3 linked regions of the Sus scrofa genome follow. The protein of the gene in region 3 purifies or fractionates together with the protein of the main gene of each other region. This does not show direct contact. Links are inferred from orthologs where the notes say so. Each region holds a gene or a part of one and is shown on either strand. Other genes may lie near its edges.

What was found.
Region 1: the proteins of DUSP4 (region 3) and MAPK14 purify together in Homo sapiens (affinity purification with mass spectrometry; 3 studies listed by BioGRID and IntAct, with this or other methods). This does not show direct contact. The link is inferred for Sus scrofa from reciprocal best matches to the Homo sapiens genes DUSP4 and MAPK14.
Region 2: the proteins of DUSP4 (region 3) and MAPK8 purify together in Homo sapiens (affinity purification with western blotting; 3 studies listed by BioGRID and IntAct, with this or other methods). This does not show direct contact. The link is inferred for Sus scrofa from reciprocal best matches to the Homo sapiens genes DUSP4 and MAPK8.

What each region holds. Positions count from the first base shown.
Region 1 is NC_010449.5:31,856,388-31,861,348, reverse strand, and holds part of MAPK14 (mitogen-activated protein kinase 14), read right to left. Parts: intron 3,160-4,961; coding exon 2,986-3,159; intron 2,788-2,985; exon of another isoform or gene 2,706-2,787; intron 2,164-2,705; coding exon 2,096-2,163; 3' UTR 1-2,095. UniProt on the Homo sapiens protein: Serine/threonine kinase which acts as an essential component of the MAP kinase signal transduction pathway.
Region 2 is NC_010456.5:88,985,976-88,992,608, reverse strand, and holds the start of MAPK8 (mitogen-activated protein kinase 8), read right to left. Parts: upstream 3,696-6,633; 5' UTR 3,517-3,695; intron 1-3,516. UniProt on the Homo sapiens protein: Serine/threonine-protein kinase involved in various processes such as cell proliferation, differentiation, migration, transformation and programmed cell death.
Region 3 is NC_010457.5:55,503,033-55,509,170, reverse strand, and holds the end of DUSP4 (dual specificity protein phosphatase 4), read right to left. Parts: intron 5,637-6,138; coding exon 5,417-5,636; intron 4,805-5,416; coding exon 4,419-4,804; 3' UTR 711-4,418; downstream 1-710. UniProt on the Homo sapiens protein: Regulates mitogenic signal transduction by dephosphorylating both Thr and Tyr residues on MAP kinases ERK1 and ERK2.

The sequences.
Region 1 (4,961 bases), on a different chromosome or scaffold from region 3:
GAGTCCGGACTCCTGGAGCATTCAGCCTCTTAGCATGGATACGGTCCCCTGTGCAAAGACCTTTATGAAAAAATATTCAGAGTGGTATTTCTGTAGGAAATCACACTAGCATTTACAGCAGAACATGGCTGATAAAATTCATCTTGCTGTGTGGACTGTGAAGATCTGAAGTGCATACAGAGGAGATGAGGCCTTTGCATTCACTTTCCTTTAACGAGGGGGCAAATGCCAGGTGAGGCGCGATGGCCACTGGCTGCCTCCTTCCTTCTCGCTCCAGTTGACTTGGGGGTTCTACCCTGTCCTTCTGGAGTTCATGTATCACTGCACTGTGACAGAAATGGAGACACCTTGGCCCAAACACAAGATTCTGTCACCTGGTCAACACTGGAAATGGCTCTGCACTTTCTTCTTTCACAAAAGGTTTAAATACATGGGCCCTTATGTAGCACAAGATGCCTGAAATTCAGAAAATTATGAAAACAACTCTTCTCCACCCCTGAGGATATTTCATCTTTATAAAGTTGAAAATACAAAATATTAAAATAATTTGCCCTCTCTCCCCATCAAAAGGAATCACATTCTCAAAGGATTCCTGCAATATACAAAATTCTGAAACAAAATTTATTTCTCCTCAAACCAAGACCAAGAAGTCAATGTTAAGCTGCCAAGAAGACCCTTTTTCCAAAGGAGGGTGGAAAAGACACCTCATTACTTTTTTAAAAAATAACCATATTTAGACAAAGACAGGAAAAGGAGTTTCTGGCCTCATGAGCTTTTATTTTTCACGTTGATTTTCAGAATTTCTTAGCATTGGTTAATGGGAGTGAAGAGAACAACCTGTTTTCCAAAGTCCGAGATATTCCTGGGACAAGCCCTGATCTTTCCTGGTTGACAGCTCCCTCAAAGTCATTTGTTGAAAACCAGATGGCAAGAATGAAAATGCTATACATCCACCTGTTCTGTTTCTTCATAGTTTTCACATCAAAAGCACCTGGAGTATCAATTGTGTTCAACACAAAATAGCACTGGGGGCTGAAGAGAGGATGACATCACCTGCCCACAGCATCAGCTGAGGTGACACGTGTTCTGAACTACCCACAAAGTCTTCACTGGCAAATTGCCTGGCACCAAGGCCTCCCAAAGAGAACAGGACAAGCAGCAGTGCATGCTCAATAGCAAGACGTGCAAAACACATCACTCTGCTAGGAATAAAGAGCACACGGGAAGTACACGGACAGCAAGAACCAGCTTCTGACTACCCAGAACGGTACTTAAGAAACCTCTGCACTGAAGGTGGGGAAAGCAGAGCATGGCAATGACACCTGGTGGGGAGGTGGGGAAGGAGAGGGAAGCACACACACGCATGCTCACACATGCACACACTGTGCCTCTGAAGGCTCCCTTGTTACTTCGGGTTCACAACTGGCCGTCTGACAATCTGACTACTTGCCTGGCTCAGAACTTCATCCATGGCACTCTTAACTACACGTTCTTCTCTCCTTTTAAGGCACAAACACATTTATAGTTTTAGGTACACCTGTTGAGTTCTGAGAATCATGCTAAGCAAGTTAGTCATAGATGAGCGCAGAGAAGCCAGCTAGTCCTTTTGGCTGACGTTTTGAAGGGACGGCTTCAGATGTGAAGCGAACAGACGGTGCGAGCCTTCTTCTGTGCCTCTGCGGGGTGTGGTCAAGCCAAACCCCTACCAACAAGGGTGGCCGCAGGAGAGGCCAAAATGGCAAAAGCATGACTGGGGGCTGGGATGTTTAACATTTTTTACTTTGCTTTTAAGAAGCCCTAACAAGATGGCAGCTCCTGCTGCCCAGCTGACTTTCACAAAGAACAAGCAGAGACTGCCACGGAGCAGGGGTCGCTCCACGTAAAGTCACTGTGATCATAGTTTGCTCATAATCTCTTACCCTCCCACAAAGTCAGACAGACAGACACACACACACACATGGGCACGCACACACCCCCCCTTCCACCACGGAGGAAATCTTTGCAACAAGAGGCACTTGAATGATATTCGGAGAGTTCCCATGAAAAGGCCTTCCCCTCACAGTGAAGTGGGATCAGCAGAACAGAAACCGGATTCTCAAGACTCCATCTCTTCTTGGTCGAGGGGTGGCGGCACAAAGCTGATGACTTCATCGTAGGTCAGGCCTAGAAATCAGGAAGGAAAAGGAGGACGTGAAAGTTCGGACTATTCATTTTGTTGGCAAGCACCCTAACTTCTAAGCTCAAGATCCTTCCTCCCTGTCCAGACTAGTGGTTCCATGGGCCACTTCAAATAACTGCCTCACCGTTTGTGTGTGATATCCTGATGGAACATGTGATTCCACAGAAGTTCAAGGATACATACAAGAGAAGCATCCTTTATTGCTTCTTTAATCATCCAGTGCCTCCTCTTTAAAACTCTCTGAAGATGCTTGAGAATAACGTAGTAATCCCATTTGCTGTAGCAACAGATAGTCCTGGCTTTTGAAATTTCACTGGAGTTTTCTGAATGTGTGTTTTATGGAGAGACTATGAAACTGAGCACAGGAGACCTGGGTTCTATTTCTGGCTGTGTCCCTAATTAGGTCTAAGGTAACAGTTAAGATGTTAACTTTCTTCACCCAAGTTCTATCAATTATAAAACTGTAAATGCACCCTATCCCCTACTTAGCTGGGAAAGATGGTATAAATGCAAAAATTCTGAGAACCTCAAAGTTCTATGCAGACGTGAGGGGCTGTGCACAAAATCAGACCAGACAGAAGCATCTCAAAGGTCCAGAGTGTCATCATCTACAACAGACAGTTTCCATCAGAGGAACATACTCATTCTGCATTAGAGACCTAACGACAAGGTTTAACAAGTTGGATTTAACCAGGAGTCCGCACCTCCACCCCCCACCCCCCTGCCCTCCCCCACTGACAGCTTTTGGTTTGTGGTTCACCTGGCAAAGATTTTTAAAGCTACGTGTTCATCATGCTCAGACTTACTTTTCCATTCATCTATAAGGAGGTCCCTGCTTTCAAAAGACTGATCGTAAGGATCAGCCACTGGTTCATCATCAGGATCATGGTACTGAGCAAAGTAGGCATGCGCAAGGGCTTGGGCTGCTGTAATTCTCTTATCTGAGTCCAAAACAAGCATCTTCTCCAGCAAGTCAACAGCTATCAGTGATGCAGATTGGAAGGAAAAAAGAGTTTTTAACACACTGCCAAAAATGTATGCTTTATTAAGCAAAACACAGTTTTGACCTTTTACACCAAAACAAAGAATTCTCCTTCAATTCTGGGATGTTACTCCTTTCCTCTTTTATTTTTTTTTTTTTTTTTTGGTCTTTTTAGGGACACACCTGCAACACATGGAAGTTCCCAGGCTAGGAGTTGAATGGGAACTGTAGCTGCCAGCCTAGGCCACAGCCACAGCAACGAGGGATCTGAGCTGGGTCTACAACCTACACCACAGCTCATGGCAACACTGGATCCTTAACCCACTGAGCAAGGCCAGGGATGGAACCTTGAACCTCGTGGATACTAGTTGGGTCCATTATCACTGAGCCACAACGAGAACTCCCCTTTCCTCTTTTATGTTTGTTTGTTTTTGTCTTTTTTGTCTTTTCTAGGGCTGCACCCACAGCACATAGAGATTCCCAGGCTAGGGGTCGAATCGGAGCTGTAGCCACTGGCCTACGCCAGAGCCATGGCAACTCGGGATCTGAGCCGCATCTGTGACTTATACCACAGCTCATCGCAATGCCCGATCCTTAACACACTGAGCAAGGTCAGGGATTGAACCCGTAACCTCATGGTTCCTAGTTGGATTCGTTAACCACGGAGCCATGACAAGAACTCCCCCTTTCCTCTTTTAAATATATGTGTGCACGTGCATGGATGGATGTTGTATTTTTTCTTTCTTTTCTTTTTTGGCTGCCCAGCAGCATGAGGAGTTCCTGGGCCAGGGATTGAATCTGAGCCAGAGTTGTGATCTATGCCACAGCTGCAGCAATGCTGGATCCCTAACCCACTGAGCGAGCCCAGGGATCACACCCATGTCCCCAGTCTGGCAGAGACACCATCAATCCCATTGCATCACAGTGGGAACTCCGGATTTTATATTTTTTAAGAATACATTACTAGGAGTTCCTGTTGTAGTACATTGGAAATGAATCCAACTAGGAGCCATGAGGTTGCGGGTTCGATCCCTGGCCTTGCTCAGTGGGTTAAGGATCCGGCGTTTCTGTGAGCTGTGTGTAGGTCGCAGATGTGGCTCAGATCCTGCGTTGCTGTGGCTATGGTGTAGGCCGGTGGCTACAGCTCCAATTGGACCCCTAGCATGGGTACCTCCATATGCTGAGTGTGTGCCCCTAAACAAAACAAAACAAAAAGAATACATTACTAAAGAAGAATTTAAAAAAACAACAGATTATGTATGAGCAAACGTTTGTGGAATGTCAGTGTTGAACTGCTCCCACTGCAGTCAAACTATCAGAATGACAGTCTGTAACTGAAGTAATCCACAAGAGGTGAGTGGGGCTAGTATCACACTTTTTTGTCCCCTTTCACTGTTTATTTACTAACCTAAGGCAAATGAATATACATCAAATGGACTGCCAAATAATGAACAAACTGAGGATTTTATGTGGGTGTGTGGGTGAGACGTGGTATTTGGATAAAAGAAAATTTTGTTTTTAAAATTTTCACTATGAAAAATTTCCGTATACAAAATAATAGGACAGCCAATACTCATATGCTCACACCCATATCCAACAATTATCCTTCTATATTTATCTATGTACACACATATTTTTTGCTGAACCATTTTAAAATAAAATTACAGACATGACATTCTACTTCTAAATATTTCAGCATACAGTTTCCTGTATAATCATAAAACTGTTATTATATCTGACAAATATATAATTCTCAAGTATCATCTAAAATCCAGTTCATGTTAAAGTTTCTCCAATTAT
Region 2 (6,633 bases), on a different chromosome or scaffold from region 3:
GAGACAAATGATTTACATCTAAAGCTATGTGGCTTTGATGACTTCCCTGCTCTACATGAATCAGAGAGACTACCATCCATACTACTGACTTGATCAGAGACCTCTAGAGAGCTGGCATCTTAAAATCAGACATTGTTTTATATACATATGCAACAAAGCATCTCAACTATTTAAATGACACAAATATGTCTCAAAACTCAACTCAATGACAAAGCAAGACATTAAGAATCAGGCTTCTATTCAACAACCTCTTAATTGGCACTAGGATAGTTTGTGACTAGTCACTTAATAAATTACTTCAAGTAGTTTTGGTGAGCACTGAGTATAAACACAGGTTATTTCCACAATATTAGGCACTCAGCAAACAAAAATTTAAAGATTAGGAGCTCCTTGGTGGCTCAGTGGATTAAGGATCCAGCATTGCCACTGCTTGTGGCTCTGGTTACAGCTGTGGCTTGGGTTCAGTCACTGGCCGAGGAACTTCCACATGGCATGGGCACAGAAATAACTAACTAAATTAATAAATAACAAAATTTAAGTACCTAATTTCATTAATTTTGGTAAATTTGTTCTTAAACGAATTTCCCTTTCAAGTGGCCTTTCTCACAGGATTTAAAGTAATATGAAGGGGAGTTCCCGTCGTGGCGCAGTGGTTAACGAATCCGACTAGGAACCATGAGGTTGCGGGTTCGATCCCTGCCCTTGCTCAGTGGGTTAACGATCCGGCGTTGCCGTGAGCTGTGGTGTAGGTTGCAGACGCGGCTCGGATCCCGAGTTGCTGTGCCTCTGGCGTAGGCCGGTGGCTACAGCTCCGATTCGACCCCTAGCCTGGGAACCTCCATGTGCCGCGGGAGCGGCCCAAGAAATAGCAACAATAACAACAACAACAACAACAACAACAAAAAATAAATAAAGTAATATGAAGGATAAAGTTTCCCACTCTGCCAGGATACTTAGAAGGAGTCCTTTTCAAATTCATTAATGCATACACTTACTAAAACAAAATCAGTGCTATCTCTTCCTTTAAAAATAAGGTAAAGTTGAACAGGGAGTGGCTACTGATGGGTGTGGGGTTTCTTCTTGGAGGTAATGAAATGTCCTGGAATTAGAGGTGATCAATGCATAATTTTGTGAATACATTTAAAAACCATTGAAGCACACTCTAAAAGGATAAATTTATGGCATGTGAATAATATCTTGAAAAAGCTGTTATTCTTTAAAACCAACAGAGTTTAGAAAACAAAGCAAAAACACTTTGGGTTTGTCACCTAAAGCCTGACCAGAGGATTTGTATCAGTAACCCTTACTGGAATTTAACATACTTTAACTAGGTAAAGCAATAAAAGTTTAGTATCTCAAGATTTTCATCCCTATCTTAATAAAGTATCACTTTATTTCTTTATTTGCACTCTTAAGCTCACCTCAAATTCTTTCATATCCAAAATAAGTGCTAAAACATATTAAGTAGGGAGAAGAAAAGACATGTACTGTGGATAAATATTATTTTGAGTTTTAGACCCATATGCCTAATACTATTAGTCCAAAACATTTCTAACAAACTTTAATAAAATGTAATTAGATATTAAGGATTTCTAATAAAACTTTTATGCCATTTGTTTCTTTTGGTCTAACTTTTCCACTTAAAGGAGTATCGAGAAACATTTCAAGTAATATTCACAAAAGGATAAATAATCATTTTAGAGGCTTACTGAAATATCACTGAAATATACATATCACATACACAGACACACAGAGTAAAAAATATTTTAGCAAGATTTAAGTTTAGGATAGTTCAGAAGTAATAAGGAAAAAAAATTGATACTGAAGTGATTCAAAAACCCTTACTGTTGTGACAGACAATATATATACGAACTGATCATTTAGCCATCTGGATGTGACCCGTTTGCATGAGGCTTCCAAAACTTTACGAAGAACATTAAATGCTTTTTGTTAAGGCTTGAGTTTCAATATTATCAATTGTAAAGAGCTTTTCAGTGATCTGAGTTTTATTTAACACTTACTATATTCCAGGCTAGGTGTTGGAGACACAGATCCAAGACAGGCCTGTCCTGAAGGAAGTCCCATTCTGACTGCTTGGTTATGTCAGGTACAGCACTAAACATGTTCACTCACAGCATCTAACCTCCTAGGCTTAACCCACAGCAGAGGATTCTGAAGTAAACATTACACATGACTGTAAAGAAATACATGAAAGCTGTACATTTAGACCAAATATAACTCTACTTCCTAATACATTTAAGGTTACGCCTAACATTCCAGATGTACTACCAAAACAGTAAAATGACCCAGAATATAGCTATACCTTCTTTAACACACATTACTTACATAATTTCATTTAAATCTCATTTAAAGGTACATCCATTCAAAGTATCTTCTTCCATTAAAGGATATTTGTCTTTACCCTCAAACTCTCCATCTGGGTAGAGTACTGAACAGTTGTTGAATGAATGAATGAATGAATGAATGAAATAAACAGATGTTCTAATTACCAAGGGGGTACTTGCTGGATGCTTATCTTAAAACACAATGGACTGACAGACCAGAATTCTTCGGGAAAGATCACTGAATTTCAGAGGTAAAAATAGTAAGCAATTGACATTGTCTGATAACGTGCAGTCAACATGTTATTAAGTCCACAGTAAACACATGATAGGAAACTTTCAGAAATTAAAATGAAAATAAAACACTTTTGTGTTCATCACGGTACCTTGAAATAGACCCGGTTCTACGACCTAAGGATTGTGAACAGAAGTGCAAGACAAAGAGAAGGGAGGGTGGGGTGAAAAAGTCAAAAGGTCACCACCGAGTGACCCTCATGAGAAATGCGCGCTGACCACTGAAGCTCGCGCCGAGCCTGACGGGCACCTCCCGCCCAAGCCACCGGCCCGGGCTCTCCCTCGCAGCCCTGCTGAAGGCCACCTCAGTCTTTCTGCGCCGCCGCCTGCGTTCGCCCACAACATAAGCACAAAGAAACCACCGAGAAACAAAACACTGTTCCCGTGGGCTCCGGGCAGGCGTCGGGTCCCGGCCACCGGAACGCTTTCCCCGGCTCTCCACTGCCGGGGAAGGCAGCCAGGGCGCGGCGGGCCGCCTAGGCGCCTCCGTTCCGACCTTCGCCGAAGTATTTCAGAACTTGCCACCAACCTCCCGTTTCATTTATCCCTCCATACGCGGACGCCGGACCCGCGCTAGGAGAACGCCTGAGGACCGACGGGCGGAGCTGGAGAGGCAGGCGGGGGGCGAGTGGGGGGCAGGCGGGGCGCGCCAGGGTCCCGCAGCCTCACGCCCCCAGGGCGGCCCCCGCCTATCCCGCAGCTATTGTTCCCGCGCCACCCACGCGGGCCGCGCGCCCCCCGCCCGCCGCGAGCTCCCGCCCCCACTCCCGGGAGGGGGTCACGGCTGAAGAGAGGCGGCGGCGGTGGCGGCGGCGGCGGCACAATAACATAAACACCGCGGGGCCGCCGGCTCTGGCCCTCAAGCTCTCACCACACTCACCTGGCAGCGCAGCGAACGGCAACAGAAAACCTAGGCGGTGGAGACTGGCGCCGTCCCGGCGGTCGCCGCGGCCGTTACCCAGCGCTGCTCGCGGCTCCGCGCTCCGGGCAGCGTCGTCCGGCCTCGGCCGCTCAGCTGAGTAACAGAGACGCTGCCCGTCACGGCGCACGCCCGCCCACGTCATCGCGCAGGGCCCCGCCCCCGCGCTTCGCGAACGGGCCGCGGGGCGGGGCAGCCCCGGGGCCCGGATTGCGGGGGCGGGGCCCGCATCCGGGGGAGGGGCTACTCTAGGGGGCCGGGAGGACTTGCGGAGGTCGCCGGGAGGCGGAGCTGCGGGGAGAGCCTCTGAATGCGGACTGTGAGGGGCGTGGCGGGAAGCTGGATGGGGCGGGGCCCTGATCCTGGCACGTGGCGGCATATGGCCCGAGAGCCTAGTATGTGTACCTGGGCAGTACGCTATTCCTAGGCAAAGCCTCTGGGGTTCTTTGCCTCAGGGTTTGAAGGTCAGTGCGCTTAGGCCAGACCCGCCCAGGGAGCAGGCACCCCGGCCTGGTCAAGCATCTGAGTGACGGAGGGCTCTTTACCTTGACTGACAGTACGTCCCATTCTGAGGACATCTACTCCAGGCCTAACAACCCACGAGCAAATATTCTCTTCAGCCACCTGGAAAAAGCTGCCTCCTGTTTTCCCCAGATCCACTTCCTACAAGATTCCATGCATTGCCCTATTTGTCTTTGGGCCCCTCAAAGCATGTATATGTTTGTTGTAGAAGTGATAAATTGGCAAGTCCTTAAATATCTGACCAGTGGAAAGATGTCTATATTACATGCATGTTTGCAAAAGAACACATTTTAGCAATTTAAATGCCGTGTGTTCAAGGGATTCTTAACCACACAGGAGAATGTTCATCATACTTCATTAAGAGAAAGAATCAAGCCTATGTATATTATATATATAGATAGTTAGATGATGATCCTGCTTATATACTGTGTATAAAAGGAAAAAACTGGAAACATGACAACTTATTTTAACAGTAATTCATCATTGAGCTGTAAATTGATTCTCCTTGTACTTTGAGTATTTTTCCATGGTTTCCAAGTTATGTTCATAATCAGAAAAAAGTATATTATTTTAATAATGAAAAATACATATTTCGGGGTTTTTTTGGGGGGATCTTTTTTTAGGGCCACACCCATGGCATATGGAGGTTCCCAAGCTAGGGGTCTAATCAGAGCTGTAGCTGCCAGCCTACACCACAGCTCACGGCAACACCAAATCCTTAATCCCCTGAGTGAGGCCAGGAATCGAACCTGCATCCTCATGGATACTAGTTGGGTTCAATAACCACTGAGCTAGGATGGGAACTCCAGATATTTGTTGAAGAAATGAATGAAGTCATGTAGATTATTTTCCATGTTATGTTGGGCTGGCCTATTTCCAGTGATTCTGAAATGAAGCATTAATGTGCATGTTCATTTATTCATTTTCTCCCCAATTCCTCCCTCCCTCTCAGGGCTTCTTTATTTCCTTCCTTTGTTTCTTAAAGAAATACATACTACATACCCATTCTGTGCCCGGTACTGTGCTAACATTGGCAATAGGATGGAGCTTATAGACTTATATTACAATAGAAATAACAGTAAACAAATACAAAATGATCACTGCATCATAATACAAATTTATATGCATATATAGAATTATGGGACAAACTGATAGAGTTAATAAAGCCAGGAAAGTCTTCCTTGAGGACCTGCCTCTTGAACTAAGAATAGATTCAACTAGACAGAAAATATTTTAGACAGAGGTAAAAACTGAGGAAAGCCAGGTGCTGGTGGAAGAGCAAGGAAGAAGGAGCTATGAGATGAAGTTTGGAAGGGTGGAAAAGGACCAATTCTAGTACAGCCATACTACCTATGCTGAAACTCTTGTCTTTATCCTAAGTGCAATGGGAAGCTCCTGACATGCTTCAGCAAAGGGGATGGCATGGTCAGAATGGCATCTTAAAAGGATTCCTTGTTGGAAGGAGGCCAGTTAGATATAGGAGTAGTCTAGATAACGGACGGCAGAGGCTTGGTCTAGGGTGATAGTCGTGGAAACAGTAAGAGTAAGGATCTGAAGACATTTTAGGAGATCCAATACACAGAACTTGCTGATGGATTAGGTGGGCAGTGAAGGAAAGGTAGTCATCAAGGAAAATCATAGATTTCTTGCTTGTGGCCAAAGATGAATGCAATATTGATTCACTGAGATGCGAATCTTGGAAGAGGACAGGGATTGAATGGAAAGGTTGTGAGAGCAGCTAGTTTGAAGGCTTTTGATCTGCCCCAAAGAGATACCAAGTTAGCAGCTGGGTATCCAGAGCTGGAATCAGGTGAATAAGATATGAGTCACTTATGAATCACAAGATAGTGGTGACTTGAATCCTTGGGTGTGGATGAGTTAGCCTAGGCCCGAAGGATGGGGGGCAGTGAGCAAGATGAAAATAGGGCCGAGAGCCAGATTTGAGGAACTTCAGTACTGAATGGCTAAGAAAAAAAAAAATGAGCTGAGAAGGAACTGCCAGGAGGTAGAAGGAAAACTAGGAGAGAGAGATTCAAGAAGAAAGGAGTGATCAATAATATCAAATATGAGAGGAGGCTTAAAATCCTGGAGTACTTATTTTCGGAAGCAGTTTAGAGTAGGCTAAGAATGAATGGGAGACTTAATATGGAGATGTTGGATATTGATGAGTCAGTCTGTAAAGCAAGACACAAGCATGGTTTACATCTAATAGGGAGACTGTTGAGAGGGAGAAGTAGAATAGAAGAAAAAAGCATGTGTAAGTTTTCCTAGAAGAGTAAGAGTAGAGATTGTGTGACTGTATACACAGGTGGAAGTATTGGCAGGTACCTCCTACTCCCACTAGATAATATTAAGACTTGGAGCTAACAAGACAGTATAATCAGAGCAGTTGTGAAGTGAGGGGGATTGCAGAAGAGAGCTCCCAAATTTCAGGCCTAGTTCTATAACAACATTAATAGTCTTACTTTCAAAAGCCTTGCTTTCTTCCTACAGGAATAGCTTCTGATTTAGCATCAGCCTACCACTGTCAGCTTCTAATTACCTACATCTAGAAAG
Region 3 (6,138 bases):
GAGTATGTGGGAATATGAGGTCCATAACATTTCCTAAGATTCTGTGAGCCAGGCTGGATCCCCTTATCGATGGGGAAGGGTGTCCCAGCAGTGGTGACTCCTTGTGCAATCTTTGGCCATAGCCCTAGTTATTTGTGCTCAGGATGTCTAAGATTGACTGCTCCCACCTGGGTGCCGTTCTTATCACCTCATCCTGTACTTGGCACAAAGCAGACTCTCAGATGAAGCACATCTGTCTCTTATTATTCACATCTTCCTATTTCTCTGACTAGAGGTCTGGTTCTTAGAGATTCCCATCAGCCTTCTCCTGTCACCTTCCTTGAGTGCCAGCTTTTCCTTGTCTTTTTAGGATCACACCTGTGGCATATGGAAGTTCCCAGGCTAGGGGTCAAATCAGAGCCGCAGCTGCTGGCCTACGCTACCACCACAGCAACCCCAGTTGAAGCCACATCTTCGACACAGCAACGCTGGATCCCTAACCCACTAAGCAGGGCCAGGGATGGAACCCGCATCCTCATGGATACCAGTTGGGTTCATAACCTGCTGAGCCACGGTGGCAAGTCCCTTGAGTGCTGATTAGGGAGCTCACAGATTGACCAGCCAGTCTCTGCTGGAGACGTTACTTTGTACATAAGATTATCAAATAACCGAGATCTCCCAAGTTATCATAGCAATGCGGTTTTTCAGGAAAGGATTAACCAAGACACAGGTGGTTGAAAATGTATTTATTTTTCTTCAAATGATTTTTTTTCTTCAAGCAATAAATAAAAACAGACATGTTGACTTTTCTAAAAAACAAAACCAAACAACAAAATCCCCTAAACTATATACATCCTACAGAAATACAAGCATATCAAATGTAGAAATGACGTCACTCTGAAAGATGGGGCTATTTACAGAAGTTACAAGTATTGCATTGCTCTGTCTTGAAGAAGCCTCTTTCTCCTGTGACTCAAAAACTTTAAGGAAGGGCAGGGTCTCCCCCACACACACCGAGGGGAAGAGGGGTATCCTCAAAGAGGTGGCACTACTCTCCATCCTTGAGAGACAAGGCAACTTCCAAGGAAGAACACCAACATCCAGCCACTATACTCAGTTCCCCCAAAGATCAGCTGACTTGAAAGGAGCTTATGTGAGAGTGCCTCTTTCGGGAGGCCCTATGTCCTTGAGTTCCTGACAGAAAATATCTCATCCCTCGGCAGAACTGAGACTGGCCTGGAGCCCACGCTGAATTAGTGACAAACCCCTGGCAAAACAAGCAAGCTCTGGGTTACAAAGCCTTGGCCTCCAAGACTGCCTTGCCACCCAACATGGCCCAAACTTGGTTACACAGGGAGAGCATCACTTGGGGAGCTTTGAAACCTACTGATGCCTGGGTCCCTCCTCTGGACATCCTGGTGCACTTGGGATAGCCTGGGATAGCCTGCAGGCAGGCTTTCTAAGCTCCCCAGGTGAAGCTAATGCGTAGCCAAGGTGAACCACCACCTAAGGGCTTGGTGGCCAATTCCAAACTAACAGCCCCCTTCTCCTCTCATCTGAATCACCATCCTACCTTCCTGTCCATCTTCCCAAGGATTTTACATTTTTTTTTCTCATGGTTCTCCAACATTGGGGAAAACCCTCTTGAATGGGGACATGAGGAAAATGGCCTAAGGACGCCATGACAGGCTGGCAGCTCCCACTCCAGGGGAAGGCTCCACCAATACCCTAAGGTCACACAGATGCCAGCCGGGAGGGAACTGGCAGCAGTCTTCAGTCTCCATAAAAGATCCAGTGAATCTACTGCCTTCGTAGTCAGCAGCACAGTCGATAATGGGTGAAAGTGGCAATGCTTTCTGACCGCTACAGAGATTTCGTATCACAGAAACCACTTCATGGGAGAGATGCCTATTGAAACACATTGGCCATTTGGACTGACCCTGCCATGCCATCTTCCTTAGAGCTATATTCCAAGTCATCAAAAAGAGGCTTCTGATGGGAGAATAGTGACCCCAAATCCCCGTTTCTAATCAAGCCTATTTCTTATTTCATTTCTAAAAGTTTGCGACTCCTGCTGTTATCAAGTACAAAGAAAATGGCTTTATAAATAGTGGTTTGACATTGAGATATAAGACGTGAATTGGAAAGCAGAGAAAAGACCTGGCTGGGCGGGTCCTGGGCTCCAACTGTCTGTGTGGTTGGAATCCAGTCTGGGAAAGCAGGATGCACACAGGTTTTGGCAAATGTACACTCATTCCACAAAAAGCAACTCACCCGAAGCTTCTTTTCCTCCCCCTCAAAGCAGTTCCTCTTTCAGACCTACCTGCCTGTTGGAACCCATATTTTTTCAGTTGTAGAATTCACTTAACCTCATTCATCACAAAACATAAAGCAACTTCCAGGAATCAAGGGGAAAGTCGGAATGTCCAGCTTGCCATCTCTAATAGGCCCATTGTCCAGGAACCCCAAGCCCCCGACATCTCATCCCTAATGATTCAGCTAAGCAGCTCCCAGGAGGGAAGGCTTTTCTAAAAACAGGAAGTGGGAACTCTGGCCACACCCAAGACAGGGCTAGACAAAAGTCAGGGCAAATGAGGCCAACACAGGTTCATGTTTATGGAAGGAAATGTAGGGAACCCGGTCCTGCCTGGGAGGCGGGGATGAGAAGGAGCATTCCAACACTGTCCCGACATTGAGGCTTGAAGTTATTTATGGGTGAGCAAGAATGTTCATCACGTAGATCCTCAGAGGGCTTAAAAAACAAACACAAAAACACACACAAAAAAAAACATGCTCTCATTTCTAGACAAGTTTGCAATTACCTCTAACCTGGCACTCCTAACAGCACTGTTCCACAATACTACAAATTAAATAACACGTGGTGTGTTCCCTCCTCCCTCCCCCAAAGCCCACCCCACCTCCTCTTTCTCCAAAAGCCATTCCTCCATTTGGAAAGGCCCTGAAAATGCCAATATTCCAAGAAAGGATCTCAAACGGCCTCGGAGCGCCCCTGGTGTCCCTCACAGAAGCCCTGAAGCCAGCTCCCACGCAAATGAGTCTGCCCCACTCCTCACTCACGCCCTCTTGCCGACCTAGATTTCCACAGGACCTGAAATGGGGTGTCCACTCCCCTTTTTATACAAGACAGCCTTTACAATATTCATCTAAACCAGGAATTTTAAGAACACGAGAATTCGTTGGTATACTTTCATTCCAAGCAAACCCCCTAAAATTAAAAACTCCGATTTATGCAAAGGAGAAAAGAGATGGTGCTTCCACTTCCAAAAGGATCCATTGCGGGCCTCTCATTAGCGGGGTTCCCCAGTGGCCTTGCCAAACGATTCACTGTAGGAACATCTGAACTGCACCCAATTTTTTTGGAGCACCTTATATGATATGGCATTTATCACAGAGGATACGCAGATTCTCAGGCAGGGAAAAATGCTTCCACAGCTACACTGGGTTACTGATCACCAGAAGCAGCTGTATTGTTGCATCAGTGGTCCATGCGCCGAAAAACCAACTTCAAAAGTACAGTAACTCTCCGAATCGGTGGACGTGGTATCCGCAGGTTTCTGAGGGTGCAGAATCTACAGATTTCCGCAGAAGGAGGGCAGGTGGGCTAGAATCAATCCTCCACGGATTGGGAAAGGCGACTGTAATGAAAAAGCAATCCCTTCTTTTTTTCCTCCCACCCCCTCACCCTGCCGCTTCTCAGCGGTAACAAATGCACGTTGACCATCACACTAACCTGTACACACCACTGACTTCCTAACAGCTTTGCCGTCCGCCTGCCACTGAGTTCCGCTGATCTGCATCCAGGTAAATCTATTCTAAATTCACTGTCACTGGACTTTTTTACTTACATACACTGAGGAAATTCTTAATAAATACCTTTATTTATTACCAAGTATAATTATTCATCTGTGGTTGGTGACTAAAAAAGGAAAACCGTGTCCTAAAAGACTTCCTTAAAAAAAAAAAAAAAAAAAAAAAATCCTGTAATTACGACAAAAGGACCAAGCACACAGAACCAGGCACTTCTGGCAAACTTATCTTCGCCTTGTCCCTTCCCTCCCCTCCCCTCCCCCCTTAATAAAACTGGGTGGGCACATTTGCCAGGATCTGTGGGTTTCATAACTTCAAGCCTTACTGCTTAAAAAAAAATGAGGTAAGAAATTCCTATCTGAAAAGTAAAACTGACACACAAACCAAAACCCAGGTCTTCCCTGCCTGCCGAGGAAGCCGTTATTGCTCTAAGTTGGAGTGTTTTGCCTGTTGGCATTAAATATGTATTCGAGGTCCTTATTGCCAATCTAGCTGGCCCCACGTTTGGCCAAAGAGAGATGGATGGAAGGAGCTTTGTTGTCTACCCCCTGCTGGTCAGTCCTGCCTTGCTGCCCACACAGGGGCCACCCGGGCTGGACAGAGAGCCGGCTCTAGCAACTGGGGGAGGTGGTGATGGGGCTGTGCAGGTAGGGCAGGCTGCTGGGGGTCGGGTGCACCCCCACGGAGACCGGGAAGCTGAAGACAAATTGCGACGTGGGGGTGGGGGTGGCCTTGCCCCTCTCGCGCAGGGGGCCCGATGGGCTGGCGGCCTCCACCGCGCAGGACGTGGCCAGCACCTGTGATTCGAACTGCAGCAGCTGCCCCATGAAGCTGAAGTTGGGCGAGATGATGCTCCGCCGCTGCTTGACGAACTCAAAGGCCTCCTCCAGCCTCACGCGCTTCTTCATCATCAGGTAGGCCAGGCAGATGGTGGCTGAGCGGGAGATGCCAGCCTGGCAGTGCACTAGCACGCGCCCGCGGCACTCCTTCACCGCATCTGGGGCAGAGAGTGGGGTGCCATTAGGCCCCGGAGTCCCCACCCCTCAGCCAGGACCAGGGTGCGGGGGTCAATTTGTTGGATGCCCACCCCACCTGCTGCCAAAGCACTGAAGGAATAGCCAGCCCAGGCCCAGGCCAGAGAAGAGGAAACCTACGGGGAAGGGCCTCTGGAATTCCACCCCTTCTAGGGCACTTTGCAGACCAAACCAAACAAATGTACTAGCTTAGGTGCTAAAGCCTCCTCAATCCCAGAACACCTTCTTTAAAGGGTTTTCATTTGCAGGAACAAAAACAAAGACCTGACTGTGCCTTTGCCTTCCTCCCCAGGCCCCAAGTCTTTTCCTTGCAGCCCCAGAAGTCCAAAGAAAAGGTTCTTGGCTCCATAAGCTAGCGGCACCTGCTCTTCCTGTAAGTCTGTCTTCCTGTCCCTGACACAACATCCCAGGGCAAGCCTTCCCCCTAGGATGAGGGGAAACAGGCAGCCTCTAGATATAGCCCATCCTGAATCCCTCCTTCCACACACCAGTTATAAGTGGTTCCCTCTCCCCTCCCGCCTCCTTCCCCCCACCCCAAGGCCTTGGAGCCTGCACTCTGGCCAGAGCCAGCCTACCAATGTACTCGATGGCCTCCATGAACCAGGAGCTGATGTCGGCCTTGTGGTTGTCCTCCACGGGGATGCACTTGTACTGATAGTGTCCTTCAAAGTGGTTCGGGCAGTCGGAGGACACGTTCAACAAGGCTGTGATCCCCAGGGCATCCAGCATGTCTCTCCGGGCCGCGTGATAGGCGCTGCCGAGGTAGAGGAAGGGAAGGATCTCCACAGGACCCCCCTGCAGCAAAAAGGGAAAACAAAGCCCCCCCAAACACTAAAAGTGTAAGACAACCAGGCAGAGCCCTGGGGGCGTCTGGGACGGGGACAGTGAAGACAGTCTGAGGTAAGCTTTCCCAGGCCCCAGAGGAGACTGCCTCTGGACAGCCCCCCTAGGTTCCCCCATGTCCTGCCAGGACTGCTGGAGGGAGTGATGGGCCCAGTGGGGCTTCCCTGGCCTTTATACTCTGCTCTGCTGTGGGCCCCAGCCGTGGGTTCTAGCAGCTCACCTCCCCTGTGACAAACAAAGTAGAAGTACAACCCTGGCCTCATCCCACCATTAGTGACATGAAAAGCTTACACCATTACCGCTGAGCTGTTTGCTCTGTGGCTCAGGTACTTATTTGGTTGGACGTGCCTTCAGCTGGCACAACAAAAATAGGTGCCATGTCAGCCTGACAGACAAGACATTTTACCTGGCAAAATGAAGTAATGTTGGCTTAACTAATGACACTTTTCTGAGT